2 linked regions of the Caenorhabditis elegans genome follow. The protein of the gene in region 1 purifies or fractionates together with the protein of each later gene. This does not show direct contact. Each region holds a gene or a part of one and is shown in the gene's direction. Other genes may lie near its edges.

Region 1 (15,751 bases):
TTTCAAATTTAATCGGCAAAATTGTACGCATCCTATGTATCGAAATTTCCAGCAAATAGGCAAATAGCCGGAATTGAAAATTTCCGGCAAACTGGCAATATTTTTTGGAAATTTCACAATTTCAATTTTCATCGGCAAAATTGTACGCATCCTATAAATGTTCCTACATCTATTTTGAAAAGTAAGCAAATTCACTGAACATATCTAGAGAGAAGGGGGAAACAATTTCAAAAAGGCAGTTTTTTTGTGTTTCAGTCTTCCAAAAAATCCTCTACAAACTTCCGGCAAGTTGATATCCGGCAAACAGCAAATCGGCAAATTGCCGGAATTGAAAATTTCCGGCAAATCGGCAAACTGGCAATGTGCCGATTCAAAATATGCATTGTAGAGTATTCATTCTATACTTTCTTTTTTAAATTTAATTCTGACCTTAAAAATTCTGGAAATTTTTTGAAAAAGGTGTTAAAGCTATTTATTAAAAAAACCCCTTTGGTGTGTGTTTCTTATTACTCTAATGGATTATTTTATATCATACCATCCGTGAAATATGACAGATATTGCTACAAGGAGGATCTTATGAATAATACATATTACGGGTGCCGCCGCCGTGCCAGAGATCTTAAGCTAGTTTTTTTTTCTTATTTTTTTTTATTTCAAAAATTTGAATTTCCCGCCATAACTTTTTCTCAAAAAATTTGAAATTCCCAGCTTAATTTTTTAAAAGAAAATGTAACTTTTCCGCAATAATTTCCGTAGAAATTTTTAATCTTCAAAATTCGTTTCAATACCTGCTAACAATTTTTAAGAGAAATTTGAACTTTCAGACAAACAATTTTTCTCAGACGATTTGAATTTCCCGCCAAATTATTTGTAAGAAAATCTTAGTTTCCCGCCAACATTTTTTTTTAGAAAATTTGAATTTCCCGCAAATTTTCTTTTGGAAAATTTGAATTTTTCACCAAGATTTTTCTATTAGACAATTTTAAATACCTGCCAAATTTTCTCTCAGAAAATTGGAATTTCCCTCCAAAATTTTTCGTATTAAATTTGAATTTTCCGCAATAATTTTCTTAGAAATTTTTAACTTCTCGGGAAAATATTTTTTGTCGCGAAAAAAAATGGCCGAGCTTCTCCCATGTTAGTCCCTCTTTTCCCTTTTTTCAAATATTAAACCTAAAGTTTTCTAAATTGACGATAATGTGTACTACTACACTTTCCCTTTTCTTTTTCCCCCAACTTTTTTTACCTAAACCTTTCTTCATTTGTGTGGCTATTCTTTAAGGAAGATACACAGAACATGACGAAGAAGAAGAAGAAGAAGTCAGCAGTCTTTTTTTTAAGGATCGGGTGTTTAGAGACGCAGGTTTGGTAAGTGATGGTGTAATAAAGAAACGAATGATACTGCCATTCAAAATCCCAAAAACCTCCTGGACTGTTATCTTTTGTAGCTTGATTAGTCTTAATTCGAAATTGTAAAATGATGAAAATTTAAGAATAATGTTCTAGAAGTTTCTCGGATTTTCTGAAACATTCTAGAGAATTTGAGATTTTTTTTGAAAGAATTCTAGACCTACCTAGAACATTTGCAATTGTTTAAGCATTCTTGAAAAATGATAAGTATTTCTGAATTTTTTGTAATTTTCTCAGAACTTCTTAAACTCTCTGGAAAATTCTGGAACTTTGCCAAATTTTTAGAAAATTTCTAGAAAAGCCTGAAACATTTTTGTATTTTTTTTAACGTTCTGGATCTTTCTAGAGCTTTATCAATTTTTTTGGAACTTTTTGCACGTTTATCAGAAAAAAACTTCTTGAACTTGTTAGAGTTTTCACCAATTTTCTGAAACTTTCTAGAACTTTCTCAAATTATTTTGAAATTTCTGAAAGTTTTTAGAGACTTTTTTTTTATTTTCAGATAAAAAAATTTTTTTTTTGGATATTTCTGGAGTTGCCTCGAACTTTCTCGTTTTTTTTTCAACTTTCTAAAAGATTTTAGAAATTTTACGATTTTCTGAAGTTTTTTAGAAATTCTTGATGTGTCAAAAACGTTCTAGATTTTTTTTTCGAATTTTCCGAAGGTTTTTAGAGATGTTTTGATTATTTTCTGAATTTTTAAAGATTTCTAACAAAAATTTTGGAACTTTCTAAATATCCTTAAAACTATCCCGAAGGTATTCTATGCGTAATCTCCCAATTATTACACCATCATTCCAAATCTGCGTCTCTAAACACCAGATCCTTTTTTAAAAAACTTAGATTAGATTGCTGATTTCTTTTTCGTGTTCTATGTATCTTCCTAGAAGAATAACCACAAGGCATAAAAAAGGTGTATATTTAAAAATAAATTAGGAAAAAGAAAAGGTCAAGTGTAGTATAATATACGAAATAGGGGTGGTCGGCAAACAATGTTTTCCGGCAAGTCGGCAAATTGGCGATTTGCCGGAAAAATGGCAAATTGCGGTTTTGCCCTTTTTGTGGAAGTTTCAAAATTTCAATTTTCATCGGCAAAACTGTACGCATCCTATGAATATTCCTACATCTATTTTGAAAAGTAAGCAAATTCTACGAAAATATCTAAAGAAAGCGGGTAAAAATTTCAAAAAGGCACAGTTTTAAGTGTTTCCGTCTTATAAAAAAATCCTCCGGCCAGCACACGATTTTTTCGGCAAATCGGCAAATAGCCGGAATTGAAAATTTCCGGCAAGTCGACAAACCTGCCGGTTTGTCGGTGAGCTATCGATTTACCGAAATTTTCGGCAAGTTGTGGTCTTGCACATTTTTTTTGAGCATTTCCGAACTTCAATTTTAATCGGCAAAACTTGATATCCGGCAAACGGCAAATTGCCGGAATCGAAAATTTCCGGCAAAACGGGAAATCGGCAGTTCCCCAAAAATGAAAAGTTCCGGTAAATCAGCAAGTCGGCAAATTGCCGTCATTGAAGATTTCAGGCAAACCGGCAAATCGGCAAATTGCCGAGATCAAAACTCCCGGCAAATCGGCAAATTGCCGAGATCAAAATTCCCGGCAAATCGGCAAACCAGCAATTTGCCGATTTGCCGAATTTGTCCACAAAAAATTATTTTCCGACCTGCAATTGCCGCCCACCACTGATATAAATCTACAGTAACCATTGCTAAATTTCTCGAATGCTGAAAGTTCGGCTAATAGCTAATTGGCTGGCTGGCTGGTTAGTGGCCGAACTTTTTCCATTCACCACGGCCTCGTATTCAAGCCAAGCTTCTTCATTTCAAAACCTTTCCCTCCACATGCTCTCCGTGCTTTTTACTTTGCCCCCCCCCCCCCCCCTTGTCACTCGTCACTATACCCCCTGACAGTGTTCTCGCCGTGATAAGAAGCTTCTACTTTCTCTCTGAAATTCTATGATCTGATTAGCTCTCTCTCTCTGTCTTTCCATCTACCCAACCATTTCGTCGCCGTTACTTACCACCATCAACAGCAGACCAACCAAAAAAAAAAGAGAATGTTGCGTTCTTCCACGCGCTCGCTCGCAACAAAAAAAGGTATGGGGTGATAAGTAATTTATACTTTTTACTGATGGCCGAATCGGCGGAGAATCGATACTGTAGCCTCGTACCGTAAGAATTTCTTGTTTTGAAAACAGAAAATGGTTCAGAAAAGGAAAAATACCTTGTCAAGGACAAACTTGTAAGCATCCGCCTGAGAAAACATTAATCCCGAAGGCCACTCACACTTTCGTTTTCGGAACTGGTACCTCTAATCTCGAAAATTTCGTAAAAATCGAATTTTTGTGGATAAAATTTTTTTTCTGCTTCTTTTCTCCGAAATTAATTTTTAAAAAAAAGCAATTTTCATGTTGAATTGGAAAAAAAAACATTCTAAGATTTTTTAGTCGAATTTAACCTAAAAACTAAATACTCAAAAATTAAAAAAAAAAACTAATTGCCGTTCGGAAACGGCAAATCGGCAAACCTTGCCGATTTGCCGGAAATTTTCAATTTCTCCAAATTGCCGATTTGCCGTTTGCCGGATATCAATTTGCCGAAAATTTTTAGACAGATTTTTTATAAGACGGAAACTCGTAAGACTGTGCCTTTTTGAATTTTTTTCCCGTTTTCTTTAGATATTTTCATAGAGTTTGCTTACAATTTTCAAAAAATTTCCGGCAAATCGAAAAAATTGCCGATTTGCAGGAATTTCTCATATCCGGCAATTGCCGATTTGCCGGATATCAATTTGCCGGAAACTCTTAAAACTGTGCCTTTTTGAAGTTTTTCCCCGTTTTCTTTAGATATTTTCATAGAATTTGCTCAAAAAATTTCCGGCAAATCGAAAAAATTGCCGGTTTGCCGATTTGCCGGAATTTTCATTTTGCAAAATGCCAATTGGCCGTTTGCCGATAAAAAATTGTTTTCCGCCCACACCTGATTTGAATGTTAAAAGCGGAAAAATATCACACAAACGCGATTATTAGCGATTTTTTTCCGCGAGAAATACGGTACTCGGTCTTGGCACGAAAATTTTTTTCTTGAATGCCAAAAGGTTTTGCGCCTTTAAGAATTACTGTACTTTGAAACTTTCGTTGTTCCGGTATTTATTATCAATTTTTGAAAATGTATTATTTATTTATTTAAAAACTAACAATAAACACTGGGCAAAAAAAAAACTCCAAAAAAAAATGAAACTACCGTATTCTTTAAAGGCGCACACCTTTTTGCATTAAATTTCAAAATTTGGCGAATAATAAAAAAAACTACAGTCGCCTCAAAGAAAATTTAGAATATTTTCGCAACATTTTTTTCCATTTTTAGACGAAATTTACTCGAAAATTCCAGAGTTTTTCAAAAAATCCCAATTTCGCCTTCCTACCGTAGTCCAGCGCGGGAATTCAAAATTCTCACGTTCCACCGGTCTCCCTTATCAATATATATCATCCTCCCAATCACTTTCACTGGTTACTTTTTCAATTTCCCTTTTTTTGCGAATTTCCGTTCGCGAAAACGAAAAAATTCCAAAAAAAAAGACCGGTGGCTATAGATACAGTACTATTCCCCCTCTTCTCAACATTTTTATTTTTTTCTTACTTTTTCTCGGCGCTGGCGCCTAGTGCCCGCGGTGGTTTTGAGACTTATTATCAGTTTTTTATCAGTTACGCCACCAATGTACGGCGTCTCTCTGTCTCGTATGCTATTTTCGCATCGCCAAGGGGGTTAGATGTTCTTCTCTCCTATGTATATGTGCTATCAGTCGAGTACTGAAAATTGTGCACGGTTTTTCAAAAAAAAAAACCACCCAAGCCTTGACTCCTTTTTTGTCGTTGTTTTTTCTGGAAAACTCAAAATATTTGTTCTCCATGTTTTTAGCGGGTCTCACCACGATCGTGCCGAGACCCACCCGACAATTAATTTCTCTGCGCCGTTATTTGAAAATTTTTGGCTCCAAACTTTCAAATTGAAAAAGTCATGTATTTTTATATTTAACAGTTCCCAATTTTTTACTGATTTTCACTGAAAAATTGGCGAATTCTCATTCAAAAAGTTTTTAAAATTAATCGAGCCTTACTGTAGTTTTAAAGGAACATGCAGTAATTCTTGCGATGGGTCTCACCACGAACTCTATTCTTTGAATTTTAAATTTAAATTTAAAGATTTTCTTCTCATTTTTCTGCCTAATATCCTTCAAATCTATTGATTTTTTTTGCAGAGAATGTGCCAGGAGGCTCGCCACGTCATCTTCTAAATAATCAACACTATTTGGAGCATCAAGAGCCCCCGCGTCAAGCAATTTTCAACGCAACTCTCCAAATTCAACAGGAAATCAAAAACAACGAAAACGGCGGCATGATGGCCCCCAGTACTGAGGTTAATTCGAGGAATTTTGAATTAAAAAACTAATTTTTACAATTTTCACATTAAAAATTCGTTAAAAATCAATTCTCTCCAGGATCCCGATACGGTTGTCGAGGCTCAACGTCGTGGAAGCTTCTCGAAGAAAAAGAATGCAAATGGGTGGAATAAGGTGGAGCTTGTCGATCAGTGTGTAAGTTTGTGAAGCTGAAAAAAAAATCCATAAAAATCGAACATTTCTAGCGAAATCCCGGTATCTCTACCGCAAAATTCGTAGATTTTTGGAAAAATGCACATTTTTCAGACAAAAACTTTTCGAAAAAGCAGATTTATCACAAAAATTTGAGAAAAATCGAATTTTCACGTACCAGGAGTGGTTTTCCGGAAAAATTCACCGAAATTCGCTTAAAATTGAACTGAAAACGTCCGAAATTTCAATTTTTTGTTGATTTTCCCACTTTTTAAGCTTTTTTTTCAAACCTAACTGTATTTTAAAAATTTAGCCTTATTCAGAATTAAATCAGAATTAAAGAATTAAATTCAAACTTAAAAATTTTAAAAATTCGAGTTTGACAACATGTTGAGCTTGAAAATCGCAGTTTTAGGCTTAGGCTTTTAGGCTTATAATTAGGCTTAGGCTTATGCTTAAGCTCAGGCTTAGGCTTAGGCTTAGGCTTGGGCTTTTAGGCTTAAACTTAGATTCAGGATTAGGCTTTTAGGCATAGGTTTAAGCTTAACCTTAAGCTTAGGCTCAGGCTTAAACATAGGCTTAAGCTGAGGCTTAGTCTCAGCCTAAGGCTTAGGCTTAGGCGACGGATTAGGCTTAGGCTTAGGCTTTAGCATAGGCTTAGGCCTAGGCTCAGGCTCCGGGGAAGAGAAATTCCTAGAAATTCCTTTAAAAAACCCAGGAAAAACGACAAAAATCTGAAAAAAATGGGGCTTTCTGTAGTCGGGTCAAAAAAATGCATGTCTAGGCGTCTAATTTCAAAAACACTTCCAAAATATTATTTCCGGCAATTCCGGCAAGTACCCCGCACCCCTGAATCAGGCCTGCCGGTTTTTTTTTTCAAATTTTGCTCATTTTGCTCAAAAAAAAAACAGACCGAAAATTGAACATTTTTTCGGCGGCACCCCGGACCTTTTTTCTGCGGTCCTATAAAAACACGTGGTGCCAGACTGTCCCATCACGTTTTGTTGATCTACGAAATTGCGGGAATTTTTTGCCCAAAAAAATAACACGTTCTTAACCATGCAAAATCAGTTTAAAAGTGTGCGTCTCTTTTCCCGCATTTTTTGTAGATCAACGTAGATCAAGCCGAAATGAGACACTCTTACAGCACTTGTAAAAATATAAAAATCGATTTTCCCTCGAAAATCGCCAAATTTTCCCGCCAAAAACTTGTCGATTTTCTCGTCTCTGGGTTGTCCAACCGTGAGAATTTATATTTTTCTTCTTCTTCTTCTCAATTTTCTCAGCTCTACATGTTTCTCATTTCCTTTTTCGGGTTCATATCACCACCGTTACCTCGTCTAGACCGCCCGAATATTTCTGCTCCTCTGATCATCGAACACTGCTCCGCCACTACTTTTTTTTCGCTGGGCGCTGTTGCTGCTCCTGCCACGTCGTTTTTTTTTTCCGCTCGACTGATAAGGAGTTGTTCTATCCAAAATTCGAGAGACAGAGAATTCCGATAAAAATACATACATATTATTTTGAAGTTCTCGTGCACTTTTGCTCTTACACTGGCACCGCCGAGCACACCCCCGCCGCGGTTGATGAGGAGGTCAGAAAAGTATAATTTGGGTCTTAGCACGCCCTGAAAATGCAAAAAAATATGGATTTTTTCAGTCAGAAGCTCATTTTTTAGGGGATTTTATCTAGAAATTCCCTAAAATTTTGGGCCCTTTCTGGATTTTCTCATGAATTTTTTAAATCAATTTTTACAATTTTCCAGGCCAAGCAAATGGGTTCGGAGGACAAACAACCTGGTGGTGGCGACGTGAAAACCGAAAATGGTACGGGAAATCGCGCTCCGTTGAGAATGACCGCGCGATTCGGCGGCAATTTGAATAGTTTTAACGAAAAAAAATGCGGAAGAAATTCGCATTAGAGCGCATTTGCACCCACATTTTTTCTTTGAAAATCGCCCGATGGAGTCGGATGGACCACCCGTTTTCAGCTTTTCTAGAGAAATTATTCAGTTTTAGACCAAAAAATTCCACAGAAAATAGAAAATTCCACAATTTATAAATATACATTTATTAGAAAAAATTTTTGAATTTAAAAAAACGGGCGATTTTCGACTCTAGACACCGCCTTTTTTCAAAAATTTTTGTAATTTTTGGGCAAAAATGGCTCGGCAAACCGAATTAAAAAATTTCCGGCAAATTGGAAAATTGCCGGAATTTAAAATTTCCGGCAAATCAGCGAGTTGCTGAAATTTGAAATTTCCGGAAAATCGGAAATTGAAATTTCCTGCAAATTGGAAAGTTGCCGGAATTTAAAATTTCCGGCAGATCGACAAATTGGCAGAATTTGGAATTTCCGGCAATTCGGCAAATCGCCAGAATTTGGAATTTCCGGCAATTCGGCAAATCGCCAGAATTTGGAGTTTCCGGCAAATCGGAAAATTGCCGAAAGTTGAAATTTCCGGCAAATTTGCGGAATTGAGGATTTCAGGCAAATCGGGTGAAATTGGCAGAGTTGAACATTTCCGGCAAATCGGCAGAATTTGGAATTTCCGGCAATTCGGCAAATCGCCAGAATTTGGAATTTCCGGCAATTCGGCAAATCGCCAGAATTTGGAATTTCCGGCAAATCGGAAAATTGCCGAAAGTTGAAATTTCCGGCAAATTGGCGGAATTGAGGATTTCAGGCAAATCGGGTGAAATTGGCAGAGTTGAACATTTCCGGCAAATCGGAAAATTGCCGGAATTTAAAAATTTCCGGCAAATCAGAAAATTGCCGGAATTCGAAATTTCCGGCAAATCGGAAAATTGCCGGAAGTTGAAAAATCCGGCAAGTTTTCGGAACTTAAAATTTCTGGCAAATCGGAAAATTACAGGAATTTAAAATTTTCGGCAAATCGGCAAAAATTTCCATTTTTCACCACTTTTTTTTTGCAGATCCATCAAAAAACGGACTCGGCTCGGCAACAAGTAATTTCATTCAAAGCTCAGTTCCCCCGTCACATCAAACTTTGAGCAATCCTCTGCAGCTGAGCCCACCGGCAGAAGCTTCAGGTCAGTTTTTTTTCTTTTTTTCTCAGAAAATATATATATCTGTGTTTGATAATTCTAGGGCTCATGGGAGAAAAAAAAAAGAAAAAATGCGTGAAATTATAGGGTCACTTTTGTGAGAAGTAGCTAAAGTACATCGGAACTTTTAGCTTGAAAAACATTTTTTTTTTTTTTGAGAAAAAAAAAATTAATTTTAAATTTTCTGTAATCCTCCATTTTTATTATCATAGAGTAGGAAAAGTACACCGTGAGCATGAAATTTGCTGGAAAAATCCGAAAAATCCACTTTTTCTTCATTTCCCCATTTTGTACTCCTCTCGGACAAGTCAATTCTGCGAAATTTGAAAATCTGGAGATTTTTTCAATTTTTCGCAATTTAAATAGCTTGAAATGATGGGAAAATGCGATGAAAACATGCTGTTAGCTCCAAATCAGGGAATTTTCATAATTTTCCAGATTTTAGCTTTTTGTACTCCTCTCGGACAAGTCAATTTTGCCAAAATTTGAAAATCTGGAGATTTTTCGATTTTTCGTAGAATTTTCGTTATTCTAACTTTTGTAAAGTGCACCAGAAGCTTGAAAATTGCTCAAAAATGAATTTTTGACCATTTTGCATTGTGTACTCCTCTCGGAAAAGTCGAATTTTTGGAAATGTAGGAATTTTCCAATTTTTTGCGGATTTTGCTCAAAAATGCTTCCAAAAGATCTATACGAATATCAGCATCGTCAAAATCGCATCATCACGTCACTCCTCCAATACGTATTGCTGTGTACTCCTCTCGGACAAGACAGTTTTTTGAAATTCGTATTTTTGAGATTTTTCAATGACTTCTAGGTGTTCAGTCGCTGAAATTTGTAGAAAATAGCTCGAAAAACCATTTTTACAACAATTTATCCGACAGTTCTCTTCGTGTACTCCTCTTGGACAAGCTGGAATTTCGAAAAACTCGACTTTTCTTTGGATTTGCACCATTTTTAAGGAAAATTTTAAATTTGTCGCTCACGAAGTCTTCCCGAATCTCGAAGCACCTGTGTACTCCTCTCTGACGAAAATCTGTGGTTTTACCAATAACTTCTCCACCCCCCGACTCACTAAGTACCCCCATTAAATAGGGTGCTCAGGCCCCCCGAAATTCCATTATCACCAGTGACACGTGTGTTTTATATGTCTCACCGAGCTCCGCCGCCGAAACATGAGGTCGCCTGAGAGGACGCCTGTTCGCCGAAGTGATTTCTATCTGTGTGTGTTGTCGCCTCCCGGAGGGTCCATGAGTATCATCAAGAGGGCGAAAAATGAGAAATGTTCCTTCGTTTTTTTTTGTGCTGCACATTTTGGTGATATGCTGTCTTAGAGCACACACACACACACAGGGAGAAGAAGAGCTTGATTGATTGCCTGTTCTACTTGAGCCTAGGCGAGCTTCTGATGATGCTCTCTTCTACCCCTTCGGGTGCCCCCAGACTTTGTTTAGTTTACAATTCATTTTAGAAACCTCTACTCTCAATTTTTTTCCCATCATCATTTCATCCAAATTGTTTATAAACCGCCCATTATCAAATTTCTCGTCGATTGGTTTCCTAGCGGGGGGTACTGTAGAAAATGGACACACGGAGAGATAAGGAGAATTGGGCAACTTTTAATGGGAGAGAAAAGTTGCGGAATTTGAGGGCTGGTCGGGATCAGGGGTGTGCGGCAAATCTCAAAATTTGCCGAGCTCGGCAAATTCGGCAAATCTCTTTTTTCAATATTTGCCGAGCACGGCAAATTCGGCAAATTTGCCGTGCTTAACAAACTCGGAATAATTTTATACTTTTTGATGTTTTTTTGAGCACCAAAACTACTGAATTCTTAACACTCATCTGGTTTCTGAATAAGTTCCGTGTAGTCTGTCTGCTTAAGCATCAAAATAACTCAATTTTGTGTCATTTTACTAAATTTTTGGCGAAAAAATCAATGGTCTTAGTCAAAATTGCACTCTCAATTTTTTGACGTGTGCGGCAAATTTCGAAATTTGCCGAGCTCGGAAAATTCTGCAAATGTACTTTTTTGAAATTTGCCGAGCTCGGCAAACGGCAAATTCGGCAAATTTGCCGCACATTCCTGGTCGGGATACTGTAGCTCAGAATTCTGGCTCCTGGAGGTACTGTAGCTCAGAATCGCTCTTGGCACCGGGGGTACTGTAGCCCAAAATCGCTCTTGACAGGAGTACTGTAGCTCAGAATCGCTCTTGACAGAAGTACTGTAGCTCAGAATCGCTCTTGGCAGGGGTACTGTAGCTCAGAATTGTTCTTGGCAGGGGCACTGTAGCTCAGAATCGTTCTTGACAGGAGTACTGTAGCTCAGAACTGTTCTTGACAGGAGTACTGTAGCTCAGAATTGTTCTTGACAGGAGTACTGTAGCTCAGAATCGCTCTTGGCAGGGGCACTGTAGCTCAGAATCGTTCTTGACAGGAGTACTGTAGCTCAGAACTGTTCTTGACAGGAGTACTGTAGCTCAGAATTGTTCTTGACAGGAGTACTGTAGCTCAGAGTCTTAAAAGCTATGTTCTCTTGAAGGAGGTGCAGCTGGGAATCTAGAAGGCCCAGGAAAGCCGTAGCTTAGAATCCGAAAGATCAGACTTATGGGTCAACTTTTCCACGTTTCCTTATGGAAGCTGAGAAAAATCCAGTGAAATCCTTAAAATTACACTGATTTTCTATAGTTTTCCGGAAAATCGTCGATTTTTTTGGAATTTAGGAATTTATTTGAGTTTGGACATTTCCAAATGTCCACCGAAACGAAAATTTGTAATTTATAAAATCAAATTATCAAATTTCGGCAAATCCTAAGTTTTCTACGAGAAAATAGACGACAAAGCCCAAAAAATGAAGAAATGGCCTGCGTTTTTTCCAGCTGAAACAGTGGCAACATTTGGTACCGCCCGGGATTCTTCTGCCCAGTGTAACCTTTCACATCAGTAGTCTCTTCGTTTCACAAAAAAAGGTTCAGACACAAACCCTGGAGATAAGAAAGTGGATCGGGGCGACTTTTTCTGAATTTTTTTCTTCCGAAGAAGACGGACGACGACGCCGGGTGGTGTTACAGTGTAAGGGTTCTCCTAATCAAACATCTCACCGGAGCAATCGATTGTGATCTATCTCTCTCTCTCTCTCTCTCTTTAAGTTTTGGTTTTCATCAAATAAAACCAGTTTCCCTCGCCAAGTCTCCTGGCGATTGATGGACTGTAACCAGTCACCCGGAACCTGGTTAACTTCTTCTCTCTCATTTCCCTTTTGCCGTGTGTGTTGCCATAGCGAGAATGAAAGTGAAAGTTGATTTTTTTTCCTTCAATTTTTCTCTGTTTCTGCCATGGCGGTATACGGTACGACCCCCGCCGATTACACATTGGGAGGGAAACCGAAATTTGAAAAGAGATTTTTTGGGGGGAAAGAAGAGGAGGAGCACGGCCACCCGGCACGCTTATCAATTTTCGCCTCCTCCTCGCCAGCCTCGCCTCTCGGGTAGTACCCTTCACCAATCACTGATAACCCATATACATGATTGGCACGACAGTTTTTTAACGAGTTGTGCGGTAGGAGAAGCTGATGGACGACAATAATGCGGACATGATTATGGGCCTGATGAGCTGGTATTACACACAAGGTGAGCGAAAAGGAGTATTTTTTCTTTGTCAAGCTGTGCTGAGATGAATCCTAAGGATCCTTGGGATCCTTCTCGAGATCTTAAGATCTTGTCTCTGATCCGATTCTCCAGCAAGTCCTCCGGAATGTCCTTGGGATCTTTCTGTTCTGAACGTAGCTCTCGATCCTTGGAAGAATCCTGGATTTTTCGGCTTTGTTGGTCCTAGGGATCCTTCATACAGGAAGTTCTATTGGAATTCGAACTGGTTAGAATCATTGGCTTCTAGAATCAGAAGCGTTCACTATAACTCCTGAAGCTCAAGGATCCTTGCAGGGATCTACAAGCTTCGGAGTTCGGTAGCTCAGCTTCTACTTGAAATTCTTTTTTGCCGGAATGAAGCTAAAGCCTCGCTTCTGTTTAAGAGTTCCGGGTAGAATTCTAGATGACTTGTGATGGCTCACCTCACCTTTTCAAAAGTACAACTCATACGACCTCCCTGGAGACGTGGGATCAGCTGAGCCCCTGAACTTTTCTCTCAAACACGTCAATGCGATAGCAGACAGTTGAACATAATTGTAGTGGTCAGCTTGTACTTTTCTCTTTTCGGCTTTTTTTTCACGGAGCTCACTACTCCTAGCCAATTTGTAGTGGGGAGGCGGAGCCAAGAATTCGCACTTTTCCCATTGGCGGTCTCCTAACTTCTTATCAGTTATTTTATAGTTTCCTCCGTGGCACCGCCGCCGCCGAAACCTATTACTGTCAAGCGCCACCGATGGGAAAAAAATTGGAGAACTCGGCGGAGGGAAATGCTAATTAGAGTGCAAAAACGCGCGGCGCAAAGGCGCTCGCTCTAATGAGAAACTCGGCCGAGCAGCAGAAGCAGGAGCTCTTTTCGAAGAGAGAGCACTTTCAGATTTTTAAGTTTGAGAGGGAGGGAGAGAGTCTCCTCTCATCGATTAGAGCGTGTGCGAGGCCCTTTTCCGCCGGGGTGAGCCTTCTTCTGAAGCTTGATCTAGAGCTTAAGCAAAAGATCAAGCTGCACAGGCTTAACTATATTTCTAAGGCGTCCAAAGATATTTGGCGAAAAAAAACCGAACGTCACTGCAGCCTGAACCAGGTGTCAATAATTGACAGCCGGTTCGATTGAAATTTGCCACCTCTGAGAGCCTAAAAAAGCTGAGCTGCTCCTTCCTTCTTTTTGCTCACGTCGTCGTTCTCTCATATTTTCTCTCCCCTTTTTGCTCCTTTTTTCTCTCTTTTTTTCCGACACACACACACACACACACGAATTCGTTCTGGACCGCCCAGAAGGCACGGACATCTAGAGTTTCCCCGTCCTCTTTTTGCTCCTCCTAGTTTGTTATTCTTTTCCTTGAAGAATTTATTGGCTACGGTAGTTGTTGAAGCTCACCACTTGAACATGAAATCTTGAAAAACCGAACACATTGCTACTTTCAGCTGTTCTTCTTCTTCTTCGAACAGTGTGGGCGTGACTTTGCGCAGGCGGCTGAAAGCGAAAATGTGAAGAAAACCCCATAATTTTGTTTCACGGCTCACACCTTGCTGATTTAGTTGTTTGTTCAAGAGTGTTCCTCATTTCAAGTTGAGTAAACTTTTCCTCTTGTTATTTCGCTTCTGATTAGTTGTGACGATTGTTTTTTTGGAGTTAGGGGCTTCTAGGCCTACAAAAGCCTAGAATATAGGATCTGGAGCTCTGAAGGTTCTGAAGATTGGATAAAGACTTTGGGATCGAAAGTTCGAATCCGAAGTTTAAGTCTGAAGCCTGAAGTTACAAGTTCTTTAAGCCCAGAGCATAGGGCCCTCGGAAGTCTGAGAAAGAGCCTAGTGCTAGACTAGACTAGACAAGACTAGTGCTTTGAGCCTAAACCAAAGAGTCTAGACTTCGACCCTTATGAGATTACGGCGCGAGCCCTATAAATCTTGAATCCTGAGTCCCTGACCACGGCTCCAAAAATTTCTCCGATTCTCTAGATTCTAAGAACCCAGGCTTGCCTGCTAGCTTACCGTAGACCTCACTTATCATTTTTCGACGGTGTGTATGTCTCCAATCACCGCCCGTCTTTTTCTCCGTCATCAGAGATAGATAGTGAGCCGGCCCGGTCGAGAAACGGAGCAGAAACTTAAAAGTGCAAAAAAAGGGCACTGAAGCATTTGTGGCTCACTCACACACGCGGCGGCCCTCCCCGTCAGCTTCTCATCATCGCCCTGGAAAACGCAGCAGCAGAAGCATCAGAAGGCGTTGGCGGGCGCGGCGACCGACCATGGAGGCCTACTTGTTCCGGAGGGCGACTCTGGCGACAGCGCCGTGTACTCTTCTGCGCCTACTCGTCTCGTCTCTCGCACTCTTCCTTCCTAATCATATATTCAGTGCTTCGTTGATCTCTTTTCTCGTCCTTCTCCAAGTGCCACACTATTTTCTCTGGAAGAGTGTTGTCGTCTCGGCGCCGCGGCGCCGACCACCAGGACACTACGCCACACACGTTGCGAACGAGAGAGCCGGAGGGAGCAGCGACGGCGGCGGCGCCTGAAAAAATGAAGAAATGCGAGAGAGAAAGAGCAAGAGCAGAAGCACGCGTGTCTTGGCCGAAATGTTTATGCATGGCGGCGGCGGCGAGGGACGAGTGATGATGATGATGACTCGGCGGGAAAACAGAAAGGGCAGCCAATCCAATGAACGTCGTAAACAACTTCTATTGGGAGGTCCACAGGGAGGGGTTCTATAGACTGAACTTCTGGATTCAGGAGGCCTATAGACCTTGGAACCGAGCTTAATTAGAGCTTCAAGTGAGCCTTGAGCCAGGTAATTTTTACAAAGCCTGTAGAGCTTTCGGAGCAGCATAGACTTGAAAAAAGCAATAGCAGTTTTCAAGAAAATTACACATTGAACATCTTTCTGAACCCAAAATGGGAATTTTCCATCGAGAAAGATGCGGCAGCTTTTCTGAGAGTTTCAAGGAAATCCCTTCCGAAAGAAAATTGCTCTTTGCAGTCTTTTTTTAAGCTCATACACGGATTAGCCTCCGGGAAACATTATGCAGACGTTG
Region 2 (15,016 bases), on another chromosome or scaffold:
TACTTATGCTCTTCAGGCCACCCATTCAACTCGAACAGAGCCATCAAGTCCTCGAACTGTCCGTGAATGTCTCCACAGATTTTGACAGGAGCTTCGATCTGAAATTATTAGAAAATGAATTGCTAATCCCTCATACGCTAAACGTACATCTAGCTTCACTTTGTTTTTCCAGAACTGCTCACGAGCTCTGTAGCATAGCTCGATGAGCTCATTCTCGACGAAGAGCTGCTGACATCGTCCGGGACTCCACCACTTGAGACGCTCGATCACACTGTGAAGCCAATTTTGAACTTTGTTCTGAAACATCATCTTTATGAGATGTTCTAAATGCTTTCAATTACCTTTTGAACGTCGTTTCCTGCAGCATTTCTTCTAATTGAAATCGCAGAAGATTCAAAATACTCGGGCATCGAGCTTTTTGACAATATTGAAACTGAAGAATAAATACTATTTTGGTTGAGGGAAAGGGGGGTTCGAAAAATAAATAAATCAACGTGGAAAACGTCACCAAAAAATTTAGAATTAGAAAAAAACACACGTAAATCAATTTCCATAATTTTAAAATTTATGGCTTATCTCGAAAAAATTCCTGGAATTGCTAACTGCCAAACCATTTTTTCAGCAGCTTTTCATTATTATCAAAAAATGGAAACTATTTCAAATTAATCAAGCTTTTTTGAGTTTCGGAAAACAGACGAATACACAGTTGTTAGATTTTATGCGACCCTACTAGGCATGCTAACTTGGTTCAATTGACATAGTACTCTGTCGCCCGCTATTTGCCCGTTACTACATATGTCTTGCCACTAAACTTTGATAACAATTAATGAAATAAAATACGAAAATACCACCCTTGATTGGTTTCCCTCCCTGTAGCTTTAAAAATGCCTCCACAAATCACACAAGTGTTAAAGAAGTATCAAATAACGAACAAGTGTCAGTAGTAAACTCATCCACGTCACCAAATCCTCCACACCCAGCTGTAAGTCATTCTCTGTTCGTATCAAATATCATGAATTACAACAGATGAACTCAATCTTCCAACAGGACATCCGATCCGGAAATCCAGTGTCAATTAGTATTGCGCGAGACCAGAAACAGGTGCTAATCATTTGTTCTACCACCCAGCTTCTCCTTCCATTCTCCCCCTATTCACTTGACTAATTAAGCGGATGATCGGAGGGGGAGTTGTGTAAACATAACAAACACCACCTAAATTCAAGTTTAGGTGACAGCTAGGGAAACATTGTGTTGGCACAGGTGGGTTGAGTAACCATAATATTGACAATATGTACATAAATATTGGGATGATGAGGTGTGGTAAACGAGTGGACAATCTAATGCGGGAGAAACTGATAGTATAGTAGCTTGAGTATTTAGTCATCCTAAACCTGAAGTTGCTAGAAAACTTTAAACTTTTTCGAATCTCAAGACCAATAATCTTATTTTAGTGTCTACAAAGTGACCTATTGCGCCATGTTGTTCCAACTTTATTTTGTTAAAAATTAGTTTTGAATAATATAGAAAGTTATTTGGAAGTATTTGTTCAATTGTTTCAGCTAAAATAAATGTGATTTCAAAAAGATCAAGTGATTGTCTACATTTTGAAACTATCTTTTAATGAAAAATGTTAGAACAACATGGTGCAAGAAGCCAATTTGTAGAACTACGGAAAATCCTGGTTGGCATTTGAGTCAGTTTTCAAGCAATTTCGTAAAATTTTCAATTTATAGTAAAGTTAACTTCAGAAAGTAGAAATATTTATTTATGCTAAAACTTTTTCGCATGTAAAAGTCTGATACTCCTTCTTCTCCATCAAATTTCGCATTTCAATATTTCGCATCTGCTACAGTACACTTCTCACACACAATTTCACCCACGTGCAACCTATTGTTCATTCATTGACATCCAATTGCTCATTTGCATCGTTCTCGCTCTTTTTGTCATTCATCTTCTCATCCTACTTCGTCATTTGAGTGACACCTTCTATGTGTCGGAACCTTTAGTGGGCTTTTAACACACATTTGCATAACCACTGCTACCCCATCTCTAAATGGATGATCTTTTGTGTAACAATTAGGAGAATTGGCAGATGTATAGTTGAATTCAACAGGAAGTATGTGTCACTTCCACCACCTAAATTTTCGCGCATTCAATGAGCAAATATTATGAGGGAATGGGGGAACAATACTTGCAGCACCAATGCACAATTAGACGATGTGCATCCTGAGAAGCCACCTGCTTGTGAGATTTCATACGAAATGAGGAGACGCAGATAGTATTGTGTACTTGAAGACGTTTAGTTGACCTACTAATACTTATTAATCTACTGGCTTTTCCTAGTTATTCTTCTCTTCCTTATTATTTTCTTAATTAGGGATTAGTGTGAATGAATTGAGTTGCAGAAGAACATATTATGACAAGTGGGTTTGTACGTCATTTACACTCGTAGAGGAATCAAGTGTTTTTCAAGAGATTTGAAGTATGGAAGTCTTGAAACTTATAATCGGGGCGTAAAGATAAACTATCTTGTTCTAACTTTTTCATAAATACCACCTCCCAGTTTATGCGCTTGCCTGAATGCCTACGTCTGAACGCCTACTTGCCTGCCTCATGCCGTTCGCCCGATTTTGTCCGATATTCTCACTCTACAAGATGAACCTGAAATATTCCAGTTAGTAAAGTAAATTTTGTTATTTTTGACACCTTGACGTGGAAAACATTAAAAATCTTCTTGAAACACTTGTACACAGTAAAAATTATATTAACTTATAACATTCAGTTGCCAGCCTTCAATAGAAATACATAAATTTAAAGTTGCAGCAAATCAAAAAATGCTTTTTTCCGTTAAAGGTCATCAGTTGAGATCTCTAAATACACTTATTGCACATAACCAAATATTGCACTTCCAAGCAATTTTAGATTTTTCAAAATATTCAGTCAAAGTTTTGGTAAAATGCCAAATCTTCCAAAATTGACTTTTTGAGAGATTCCAGAATTTCCGAGCATTGCTACAAATTGAAATGTTTCGGTGTTTGAGTAGGAACAATTAAAACGTAATATAAAAATCGTAGAAAGAACATTTTTTGGTCGAATTCCAAAACTATGATGAGCTTTCACCACTTTTCAACTCAAAAAGTTAAATTTTTTTGAATAGTTGTACGCTTCTTTTTATCTTTTTAGAACAAATTTCAAAACAATTTCCCAACGATACCCCACCTTGAAGATCATTCACACAGTAAGAAATATGCCAACAATTACCATTTTCCCACGTGTTCTCTCTCTCTCGAGATCTCTCCTGACTTCAAAGCCATACCAATTTCCGGTAATTCAGTGTCCATATTCCTATGTCATCTGTCATTTCAATCTCGGCTCATCAACATCATAATACAATGACCTTGTAGTTGAGGATCTCCGTTCGGCTTCCGAAACAAAAGGCAGATGTATGGTAAGTAGTTGGGTGTTACATACTCTCTCCAAAGTGTTGTTATTGATGTTACACCCTTTCTTCTCAGTAATTCATCAAAACTCTTTTCCTCGCTAATTTGTTTGATGATTTATGAGGGAAGCGGGGTGTGCAAGTTTCGCGCATTTCGGCTTTCAACACAGAAAAATCACTAATTCGTTGATTTATTTTTATGTGAACTTTTGTCGTAACAAGTATCAGGCGGCATCGTTTTTGTGTTGAAAGTTACCGTAAGATTCAAGGGTTTCATTTCGATGTATCCTAAATCTGGGACAATAGAATTTTATGGACCACCCGGTTAGGAGTAAACAATACCCAATAAAATTTAATAATTGAGCTGCCTTCTGCGGTGGAATGTATGCTCCATGATGACATTTGTATCTTTGAGAAATATGTTAGGGATCCAAATCATCAAAATTACTAACTATGTATATGGTGTATTGTTTCTATATTTCTCATTGGAAATTTGAGCTGGAACAGAGAATTTTCTTCATTTTTATTTATAAAGGGCGCTGGATAATTACCGAAAAAGGGAAATTTTTGAGCCTCAAGCATTTTAACCTATGAAAGATAGTTTCATAAGAGTTTTCAGATTAATCGAGGTTCTTGAAATCATTTAATCAGGAAAATACCCACATTACTCACAGAGATCCGCTTTCAGACGTTATGTTCTCTCTGATGGTCTGATTCTACTAATTTTAAATGTAATTTATTTTTTAATTAAAAGCTTGTAGTGGTTTGTTTTACTTTACATAATGTGCTCACATTTTCTTCGTATTTTGTGAGAGATGACGAAAACTACAATAAAAGAAAAATGCGTGCGGTGGCGTTGCAAAAACCACGCGCACCACTTGCAATAGAAGCCACGCCCTTATTTCCTTTGTTTTATTTTTCGTTTTCAGCTCTTTCAGTTCTCTTTTCAAATGATTTACCTGTTAAAATTAGTCAGAAAAATTAGATTTCGGTTAAAGTTTTGATTTTCTTTATAACAGTTATACGAAAATTGGTGCCGATTGCTGTTTAAGCTTCAGTTCTGAAAAGCTGTTTCTATAATACATTCGCACTGTCTTTCCCGTTCAGTTGCAGCGTTTTTCTACTTTCAGTAGTTTCAGTTAATACTTTAATGTTACAGAGAAATGGCTGACAAATCGACGGAGGTTGAAAAGGCCATTGACCCAATCATTGACTTGGGTAACCTGCTGTTTATTGATCGAGAGCCAATCCAAGGAGACGCAAGGTATATTATAGAATTTCGTTATTAATTAAACCAGCAAATTTCATAATTTTTCAGTGAAGGACTCGAGGAACGTGCTAGGAAGAACACACAACTCCTTTTCAACAACATCTGGCAGCTGGAGCAAAAAAGAGTAGAAGAGGCTATTATTGTTACTCTCCCTCCCGCCACTTACCGTCTTCCTCGTGAGAAACGATTGCCAGAGAAAAAAGAGCCGACGAAATGGGAGAAATATGCTGCTGAAAAGGGAATTGAGAAGAGAAAGAAGGATAAGAAGGTGTTCGATGAAGCGACAAAGGAATGGAAACCGACCTATGGATACAGACGTGGAAATGATGATACCAAGGATTGGCTGATCGAAATTCCTGACAACGCAGAAGATCCGAACAAGGATTTCTTTGCTGAGAGACGCGAAAAGAAGAAGGAGAGAGTTGCAAAGAACGATATGCAGAGAATGAAGAATCTTGCTCGTCAGATGAAGACAACAGTCAAGAGCGGTCCATCGACAGAAAAGATGATCGGAGTAGGAGTCGATGCCAAGGAAAAATCAAAGCAACAAGTTCGTTTCGCAGTGGATCGTGCAAAGCTTGCCACAGCTTCCGCTGGAAAGTTCCAGGAAGGATTGAAGGGAGAGAAGGCCAACGTGAAAACTGGCAAGAAGAGAAAGTTCGAAGCCAACGAAGCTCCAGTTTCTGGCGAGAAAGAACGTGCTCTCCAGATTCTTCAACGAATGAAGTCAAAGAAAGCAAAGATTGTTGAAGAAAAGGCTGCTGCAGTTGCTGGACCTTTGAGAGAGTGAGTAGTGAGAAAATTAGGCCTTTATCGTTATTCAATTCAATTAATTTCAGGAAGAAGGAAAAATCGGAGAGGAAAGGTGCTAAAGATCAAACAAGACAGAAGAGTCAGATTCACAGACAACAGTGGTTCAAAAACAAGGTCGACGGCAAGAAGAAGGGTACTGGTGGTGCTGGAAAGAAGGGAGCCAACAAGGCCAAAGCAAGAAAGGGATAATCTATGTTCTTGTTTTTTATTCAAATTTGTTGATTTTGATTCGTTTATTTTTTTTGTTACTTTCTTTTTTATTCATCAAATTTTAACATTCAATAAATAAATGTTCTGTTAAGTAGAAAATGTTACTTTTCTTCATGAAATGATGTTTTAGTTCTCGATTGTGAATTTACCTGGGATAGGTTATTTTATTAAATTTGTTCAGAGTTTTATATAATCCCAATTATTTTTCTCTGGCATGTTTTTTTTTTCTCTGAATGTAAGAAAGCCAACATTGATTCGCGATTTTCAAATCTATGAAATTAATAGGCGGAGTTTTCTTTGCCAGATCCAGCAACTCGGCCATCTTTCAAACCAAGATAAGTGATTTTAGATCATTTAACAATTTGCCTGTCAAGACTTAATATTTTCTCAACTAGTAAAGTGCTGTTCCCATTTACTCAGCAATCTGTTTCTTCGAAAGTCACAAATCGGTAGTGTCTCAATTTCCAAGCGTGCTCCATCGCACTCCCTTTAAATTTTGTCATCTTTTCGGCGTTCTCATCATTTTTCAACCTTCAACAATATATTTTAGTCGAAACTTCATTAATTCAGCTTAAAATGGCTTTGAACTTCCTCTCATACGACGATGACTTTTGTGGATATTGCGGCGCCATCTTGGAACTACCGGCACAGGCTCCAGCGACGGTCTCCTGCAAAGTATGCTCAACTCGATGGGCTGTGAAAGGTTTCCTGCTTTTAAGATGAATATATTCTAATTTTAAAATGTTTTCAGAAAGAGTAGATCAAGTGGTTAGCCGTGTCGAAAAGATCTACGAACGAACGGTTGCTGATACAGATGGAATTGAAAATGACGAGTCAGCGGATGCTGTTGTTGATCATATTTGCACAAAGTAAGAATATTTCCGGGGATTTTGAAACTGAGAAAGACTGAAACTAATTTCCAACTTTAAGGTGCGGTCACTCAAAGGCATCATATTCTACTATGCAAACGAGATCTGCAGATGAAGGACAAACAGTATTCTATACATGCCTGAAATGCAAGAAGAAGGATATCGAATATTCTTGATAACCTTTCGAGTCTTTATTTTTCAAATCAGATTTTTATTTCTGTTGTTATATATTGTTGAATTTTTGTTTTTGTTTCCTGAATATTCCATTAAGTTTCTTTTTATTCGTTTTTTTTTTCATTTTATTGGTACACTGGTCAATAACCAGATTTCCTATCTTTATCGGTTTTCAAATTAATGGTTGATTTCCACTTTAAAATTTATGTTTAGATGTCTCGTGGAAGCAGCGCCGGATTCGATCGTCATATTACCATCTTCTCTCCAGAAGGACGTGTTTATCAGGTTATAAAATAATAGTTGAATGTTTATAACTTTCCATGCTTGCTTCCAGGTCGAGTATGCCTTCAAAGCAATCAACTCTACCAATCTGACGGCTGTCGCAGTCAAGGGAGCTGATGCAGCTGTCATTGCCGTTCAAAAGCGTGTTCCAGACAGTCTCATCGTCGCTGATACCGTCACTTCGGTTTATCAAATCTCTCAGTCTGTTGGATGCTGCGCCATTGGAATGATCCCGGATGCTAAATTCCAAATCAAGCGTGCACAGGGAGAAGCTGCTAGCTGGAAGTACAAGAACGGCTACGATATGCCATGCGAGCTTCTCGCCAAAAAGATGGCTGATCTCAACCAGTATTACACACAAAATGCGGAGATGCGTAGTTTGGGATGTGGTTAGTAGAAAAATTTCCGAATTCTCTAACTTCAATTATTACAATTACTCAATTTCAGCTCTTTTGTTCATTTCCTACGATGACGAGAAAGGACCAGAAGTTTATCGTGTTGACCCCGCTGGATACTACCGTGGTATGAAAGGAGTATCTGTTGGAGTGAAACAACTTCCAGCGACCTCATTCTTGGAAAAGAAAATTAAGAAGAAGTCCGAATTGACATCCACAGAAGCTATTGAACTCGCCATTGAGGCTCTTCAGACTTCATTGGGAATCGACGTTCGTTCCAAGGATCTTGAGGTTGTCGTTGTCACCAAGGATAACTCCAAATTCACCAAGCTAACCAGCGATCAGGTCGAACATCATCTCAATCAAATCGCCAACCGAGATTAAATATTCATCGACCTTTGTATTTAAATATTTCCCGTTTCAATTGATCCGGTACCCAAATTGAATTAAATACCTGGTTTCCCTTTTCTAAATTTATTTATTGTTTTCTTTACTCCCTGTTTCTCGGTCTTTTTTATCATTGCCCTCCGCCCCTTTCTCTTTTGAAACTATTTATTTATCACTAAAAATCATGATAAAATGATTTTTGAAACACTTCATATTATTCATGTTGACTTTGATGGTGGTTTCGCAATCCCTGTTATTTATTTTTTAGTACGAATTCATTGAAGAAAACTGCAAGTTAAAAAAATTATACATTCAAAGTTTTAACAGACCATCTATTAAAATGGATGGTGCAGATGCTGAAGAACATGGAGGATTCCTCTTTTTTGTGCTCGCTTCATCCGTAGTTTTTATTGTGCTCTTTTTCACAAGGTAATCGATATTTCACGATAGCTAAAACTATAATCTAAAATATTTCAGACGTTACTTTAAAGGAGGTCAATTCAATGAAAGAGTCTCTGCAAAGGGATTAGTAGCCGTTGTGACCGGTTCTAATTGTGGAATTGGATTCGAGACAGTTCGGGAACTTAATTTGAGGAAAGCTGATGTGAGTTACAGAACTAATTGCATTGTTATAATTAATTGCTAATTACTAATTACATAAATTGCATTTGTTTCTAAACAATGCTATCCATATTTAAGTTATCAAGAATAATCTAATTTTTTCCAGGTCTATATGCTGTGCAGAAGCGAAGAGAAAGCCAATGAAGCGAAACGAATGCTCGTGAGACAAGGATGCGATGCCACTCGTCTTCACTTCATTGAATGTGATTTGACAGATTTTGAAAGTGTACGACGAGCTGCCAAGGAAACTCTCGAATCGACTGACACCATTGATATCCTTATCAATAATGCTGGAATCATGTTTCAAAGCAAACACGAGCAAACCAAGGATGGTCATGAGAAAACTTGGCAGAGCAACCATTTGGGACCATTTCTGCTCACCGAACTTTTTCTGCCAGCTGTTAAGAAGTCTTCCTACGCTCGAATCATCAATGTTTCATCTCGTATTCATTTGAAATCCGAGAAAATTAATTTGGCTACTGTAGATGACAAGAAATCGTTTGGAATGATGAAATCGTACAGACAGAGCAAGTTGGCAAATGTTATGCACGCAAGAGCCTTGACTAAGGAATTGAGAAAGGACGGAGCCGAACACGTGACTGTTAACTCCCTGCACCCAGGAGTTGTTAATACCGAGCTCGCGAGAAATACCATTTTGAATACACCAGGAATCAAGCAGATTACAGCTGTTTTCCGGTAAGCCAAGCCAAATTTCCACACTTAACCTTAAAATAAATAAAATTAATTTCAGTTGGTTCCTCATGAAAACCAGCCGCGACGGAGCTCAAACTTCAATCTTCCTTGCATTGGGCAAAAAGATCGGTGGAATCAGTGGAAAATACTTTGCCGATTGCAAGTTGACCCAAGAAAACCCACTAGCCTTGGATGATCAGGCCTGTCAGGATTTGTACAATTATAGCTTGGAATGTACTGGCCTCGCCAAGTAATGTGCCAGCGCAGCTACAATAATTTCTCTATTAAGAATTCATATCAATCCCATTGTAAACTTTAACAAAGGCTTTATATTCAAGTATTTAAAATTAAAATTTCATTGAATGAATAAATATGTAATACATAACAAAACGAAAAACAAAACTAGTTGAAAACATTTTACAGCGAGTTTCACTCGAGGAAATTACCATTTTTTATCTTCCAGATTTTTGGTGACTCTACCAGAGACATGCCATTGAACGTCGACGTCAGTTTCTCCTTCTCGGACTTCTTCTTCGCTGACTGGTCGATATATACAATCTCTCGGCACTTGTGCTCACATTTGCACTGCACGAAGTCGATATCCTTCTCGAGGAGATGGAAGAGTTTGCCGTCTGAATGAGGACATTTATCTAGGAAAACTAATTATCAAGAACGTACCTGGAGCAACAACCTTTGAGAAGTATTCCTCAACCTCTTTTTTGAAAGCCTTGAAATAATCAAGGGTGATCACATATCCATTGCCTTCGTCGAGGGGAAAACGTGAGTAAATCACGAGATCAGGAATGTCGTTTCCTGATTCAACCAAACGAACATTGCATGTTGGATTACACTGGATATCATCAAGTTATTAGAATAGTTAATTGAATAAAACTCACGCTGTGGGGAATGAATTTTGAGAAGTCATAGAACTCTCGACGATCGAGGCACAAATCTGTTCCTGGAATTTCGACGAAAGAACTGAATGCAACCTCTTTTCCTTCAGTTCGCAAAGATTCTCGAGCAACTTCGGCTGGTCGAATCTGAGATGAAATATTATACAATTACAATTACAGTTTTTAAAATTACCACTCCAGTCATGACCATCAGAGGAACATTGGGGAGACTGTACATAGCTGATAATATGTACCAGCCCGATCCGGGTTCCTGTCTCATTTCAAGTGGTATGGAGAATCTCGAGTTCACTCTAAATAAAAATAATTAAAATCTGAAACACTTTTCAAAACACATACGCCTTGTTGATTCTTCGCATTCCCTCGTACTTATTCTCATCAACCTCCTTCAGATATTTTGGCTGTTGTGATTCGTCTTTGGCAAAATACAACCGGTCGATGAATGGCCGAACCTGAAATTTGTGAATTTAAGAAACAGAAGAAACATAATAAATGCTCACATTGTTGAATCCAGCTTTTATACCCTTCCGAGGGAAAAAGTGAGGAAAATTTTCACGATTCTTATACATTTCTTCTGTAACTGGTTCAAACAAGATGTTTGGCAATGGAGGCGGAGGGAAGAGGACTGATTGCTTCTTAGTTGGGTAGAAGATCTTGACGAAAGGATAATCTTCGAAAATCTGTCTCTGATATTTCATCTCCTTGTCATACTGAATATGACTGCTGTTGACTCTATCAATTTGTGGAACGAGGAAGGAGTGTAGAAGATGCATCTGGTTATGCTCTTTGATGTACTGAAAATTCGATTTTAAACCAGTACGGGTAAATAGAAAATACTCACTTTCAAATACATAATCTTTGCTCCGATGTTGTCTCTCGTGACAAACTTGACCGAAGATCCGAAAACAGTGGCTTCCGCTACGATTGATAAAGGTATCAAAGTGTTCGTGAAAAATACTAAGTCACTAAGCGCGGTATCCAGATTTCGGAGGAAAAAGTCAAGATTCGTTACGTATGAAGATTTCAATGTCCTTGCAGCATACCCCATAAGCTTCTCGGTGCACACAAGTCGTCGTTCAGCTTCTTCCGTGTCACCACCATTCCAGTTCGTCCACTTGACTGTATATTGAATCTCCCGTCCTTCGATTCTCTGAGATATTGTAATTATGGTGGTTTGAAAACAATTTTCTTGGCAACTACCTTTTGAGTTACACGAACAAATCAAAATGTATTTGAATACAATTTTAAATTTCACAACATTACTTGAATAACCCTATAAGAAACACACCGAGCGAACGATATCTTGAACTTCATAAAATTCGGTGTCCACCTTGCCGGTATTTTGGGTGGAGATTTTGTCACATTTCCTTGACTTGGATGCATTCTTTTTGATCGCATTCTTGGACTTTCGCGATTTTGCTTTCTTTTTAATATCCTTCGTAGTCATTCGTGGTGCTTTTTTCTGCACTGCAGCCTGAAAGTTCGTTTACCGGTTTATTTGCTTTTTTTTTTCGATTTAAACATACCTATTTTTTCGCAAAAAAATTGAGGATTGATTTTTTAGCTAAAAAATAAAAAATAAATATTTGGGCTAAATTAAAAAATTTAGATGATTTCTGCAAAGGATGAGGAGGTCTCGCATGGATTGACACACCTTGCGACTACGGTAGCTGTAGATTTACGAAGTGATTTTCTTGTCTTCAAATCGACTTCAATTTTTCAAACTAAATGCTCACTTTTTAAGATTATGCGTGGACAAAATCGGCGAGGCTATCGGAATATCGAAGGACGGCTCAGCCTTTCATCCCATTCATCGCATTCTTCACCACGCCAGACACATGTCACAAACTTGAGGCCAGCTGAAATCAAGGTTGTCCAAGATGTCGTGGATGGGTGTTATGTTGCGACTGACGATGTTCTTAACCTGTCGAACTTTTCAAAAAACACAGAATTTGTCGAAAGGGACATGTTGATGTGCCTCACGAAGACAAGAGTGATGTCGGTAGTTCTACAGCATATTGGGTACAAATATCCTCGCATTTCCGGAATCTCATTCTCGGTTTAGATTAATTTGTGAAAAAATAATTAATTCCATGTAATTTTCAGAATAATCGGCTCTGTCACTTGGACCATCTCTCCTCTCTCTCGAGCATATCCAAGTTTCTAAAATTCCTCGACTTGAGTCATAATCAGGTTTTAAAAGTTTTTGTATTCTTAAATTTCATAACTTTTTTTTCTAAGATTTCGTCAGGAGAAGAATTGAAGAAGTTAGGAACGATTCCAGTAGAAACTGTGTTTTTCGAGGGAAATCCAGTCTGCGAGAAGTTTGTGCAATGTGCCGAGTATGCCAACTTTATTCAAAAGACATTCCCAAAATGTTCAAATTTGGTAATTCACGAATATCCTAACAATTATTTCAATTTCTATCTAAATTGTAGGATGGAATGGAAGTCGAACCAAAACCAGATCACAATAGAATCGAGCAGATAATTCCATTCAGGGTGATACAGTATATTTCTACATTCCCGAATCATCTAATTATTTTAGAATGGATACTATGGCAGTGATGAAGTTCGTACTCTTGTCGAAGAATTTATCATCACATATTACAAAATCTACGATGGCGCAGATGGACAGCAGACAAGGAAGCAACTTCTGGATGCGTACGACACAAATAACGTGCTGATTCTTGCATTTTTTCAGTAGTAAATATAAACATATATTTTTCAGTCAACATTCACGCATACAGTTGTCTGCTTGTGGGACCCAATTAAATTTGTCATGTATCCGGACAGGTACCGTCTGAAGTCTTAAGGTTTTAATAATTATTTATATTTCAAGTGAGAGCTATCGAATGTACCTGAGAACTTCGCACAATGTTCTGAATCAGGAATATTTTGCCGCAAATCGGGCCTCCAGAATATCACACGGTGCAATGGATATCGTAGTTGCACTTTCGAGACTTCCTGCCACAATTCATCTGATGGATACATTCGTAGTTGACGTGTTCCTTGTTTCGGCAACACTTCTCGGATTCACATTACATGGAACATTTCGTGACGGACCATCTGCGATAAAGCCCGAGAACACTGAGGAACATGATAATTATTTTACGAGAACATTCATGGTTGCTCCAAGAGGCGAAGGAAAAGTCGCCATTGTTTCCGATCAGCTGTTCATTAGCTCGATGTCAAAAAGACGCGGCGATCAGTACCGCATGCTAGTGGAGACAGCAACGGACATTGACCAGTGAAAATTATATATTTTCATACATTTAAACGGCATCCTATTTGTATTTTTATGTCTAGTTTCGGATCATATCTTGTTACCAACACCTAGCATGTTTTTTTTTGTCTCAACATTTTACAGTTATTTGTTAATCTTCATTTTTAAAAATTATTTGTATGGAACAATGTCTAATCGGTCTTTGTAGCTATCAATTTTCAAATTGACCTGATCAAAAGTGGCAGCACCAAACCAAGCAGCTGCGAATCCAATTGAAGCACTCGCTAGGTAGATCGCGATGATTCTTTTTCTGAAACAATTCCATTTTCAAGAGACTTTTCGTGGAAATACCTACCCCGGTTTCCTCAAACCGGGAAATACGGGAACACGGGAGAATGTGAATTCGGCTGAAGTTCCGATGTCTGGCAACATCTTCCGACGTTCAAAACGCGTCGGAATAGGCGCAATATTGTCAAGACGCGAATCAGGGGTGTACTTCTTCATATTCTTTTAGTTGTAAGAACAATGGAGAGAGACGGATGTTTTGGAAATTGTTGGCTGCGAAGATGGGAAAAGAGTGGTGAGCAAACAAAAATTACGGGGAACAAAACGTTTTCTCGTATTTTTACTGCTATCTATATAGCCACTGAATTTGCAGAAATATGTATATTTTGTTGACAGGTGACAGTGAAATATTGAAAATTTACTCATATATTACAGTAGTATCTTTTTGCGGTTACTGTAGTCGGCGAAATTGAAAATCACTGTTCAACGATTAATATTTTGCATGATCGATTTTTATCATGCCTCTTAAGTGTTACTATCATTCTAACCGAGAATTCACGTCATTTTCTGACTCGCATGAAACATGTTTGCCTAAAACATTTTTTATTCTTGTTTATGTCGTCAAATTGGGGGCTCGTCTGCATTTTTGCGTAACGGTGTTTGCACAACCGATAAAAGTCACGAGATTTTTTTTTGCATAAATATGATTCAGTTTCACCAATTTTCGAATTGCCGTTCTTTGCTTAGTGTTCCAAATGTGAAATTATAGTTTTAAAATCTGATTCATTGAGTTTTCTGATTTCCGCAAAACTAAATTATCTCCCGGCTGGAATGAGGCAGCCGTCCCAGTTTCGCAACACTTTCGAAATGAGTAAAAATTTAACTTTTCCTTGTCTATTATAACTTTTCATGTTCAATATTGCTTTCTCTTGAATATCATATTTATTTGTGTTTCACCTACACCTTTAATTTAATTTTTCGATACCAGTTTTCCCTCGATGAAATACAAATCTTTCAGATATGAATCGCAAAGGGTTTGGAGGGCATCGTGACGCGAAGCAATTGTCACGTACAAAGAATCGTTTTGCTCGACTTGACCCAGACACTCAAAGCAGATATGAAGACGACGACGAGCCTGCCGTTCCAGGTAACGCTTAGATTTATTCATATCCTTGCCAACTTATTTTTGTTTCAGTTCGTGCAAGCCTTACTTCTGCCAGTAGCCGTGGTCGTGGAGGATCATCACGCGGTTTCGGACAATCGGCTGCATCCATCGCCAACACTGGAGTTCGTAATGCTGACATCGTCTACAAGTGCCGTGCTACTGGAGCTGCCAAGAAAGTTGATGCCAAGTGGCTGATCAAGCAGCTTAATCAAATAATCGAAAATTTCAAGCCACTTCTCTGGACTGATAACGCCCGTGGAGACTTTGAATGGTACGT

The links.
Region 2: the proteins of tra-1 (region 1) and nxf-2 purify together in Caenorhabditis elegans (affinity purification with western blotting, with the first as the bait; one study listed by BioGRID). This does not show direct contact.

What each region holds. Positions count from the first base shown.
Region 1 is NC_003281.10:11,185,130-11,200,880, reverse strand, and holds the start of tra-1 (Sex-determining transformer protein 1), read left to right. Parts: upstream 1-5,679; 5' UTR 5,680-5,817; coding exon 5,818-5,838; intron 5,839-5,920; coding exon 5,921-6,016; intron 6,017-7,778; coding exon 7,779-7,839; intron 7,840-8,949; coding exon 8,950-9,066; intron 9,067-15,751. UniProt on the Caenorhabditis elegans protein: Plays a major role in controlling sexual phenotype. Terminal global regulator in a well-characterized cascade of sex-determining genes. Promotes female development. Interacts with tra-2 to promote spermatogenesis.
Region 2 is NC_003283.11:14,414,591-14,429,606, reverse strand, and holds nxf-2 (Nuclear RNA export factor 2), read left to right. Parts: upstream 1-11,771; 5' UTR 11,772-11,811; coding exon 11,812-12,123; intron 12,124-12,170; coding exon 12,171-12,257; intron 12,258-12,305; coding exon 12,306-12,452; intron 12,453-12,502; coding exon 12,503-12,565; intron 12,566-12,611; coding exon 12,612-12,743; intron 12,744-12,794; coding exon 12,795-12,859; intron 12,860-12,905; coding exon 12,906-13,317; 3' UTR 13,318-13,460; downstream 13,461-15,016. Other genes in the region: F23B12.1 (Serine/threonine-protein phosphatase), read right to left, coding at 4-98, 148-297, 342-410; rrsr-1 (Ribosome biogenesis regulatory protein homolog), read left to right, coding at 4,603-4,703, 4,758-5,495, 5,549-5,711; rpoa-12 (DNA-directed RNA polymerase subunit), read left to right, coding at 6,309-6,435, 6,484-6,601, 6,663-6,777; pas-1 (Proteasome subunit alpha type-6), read left to right, coding at 6,989-7,060, 7,110-7,446, 7,505-7,836; dhs-22 (DeHydrogenases, Short chain), read left to right, coding at 8,180-8,268, 8,317-8,443, 8,567-9,156, 9,212-9,407; set-31 (SET domain-containing protein), read right to left, coding at 9,583-9,785, 9,832-10,003, 10,050-10,193, 10,240-10,357, 10,404-10,516, 10,565-10,858, 10,906-11,214, 11,353-11,511; C15H11.11 (Cytochrome b-c1 complex subunit 10), read right to left, coding at 13,461-13,599, 13,645-13,793; nxf-1 (Nuclear RNA export factor 1), read left to right, coding at 14,595-14,721, 14,770-15,016. UniProt on the Caenorhabditis elegans protein: Involved in the export of cellular mRNA to the cytoplasm. Plays a role in the nuclear retention of unspliced mRNAs.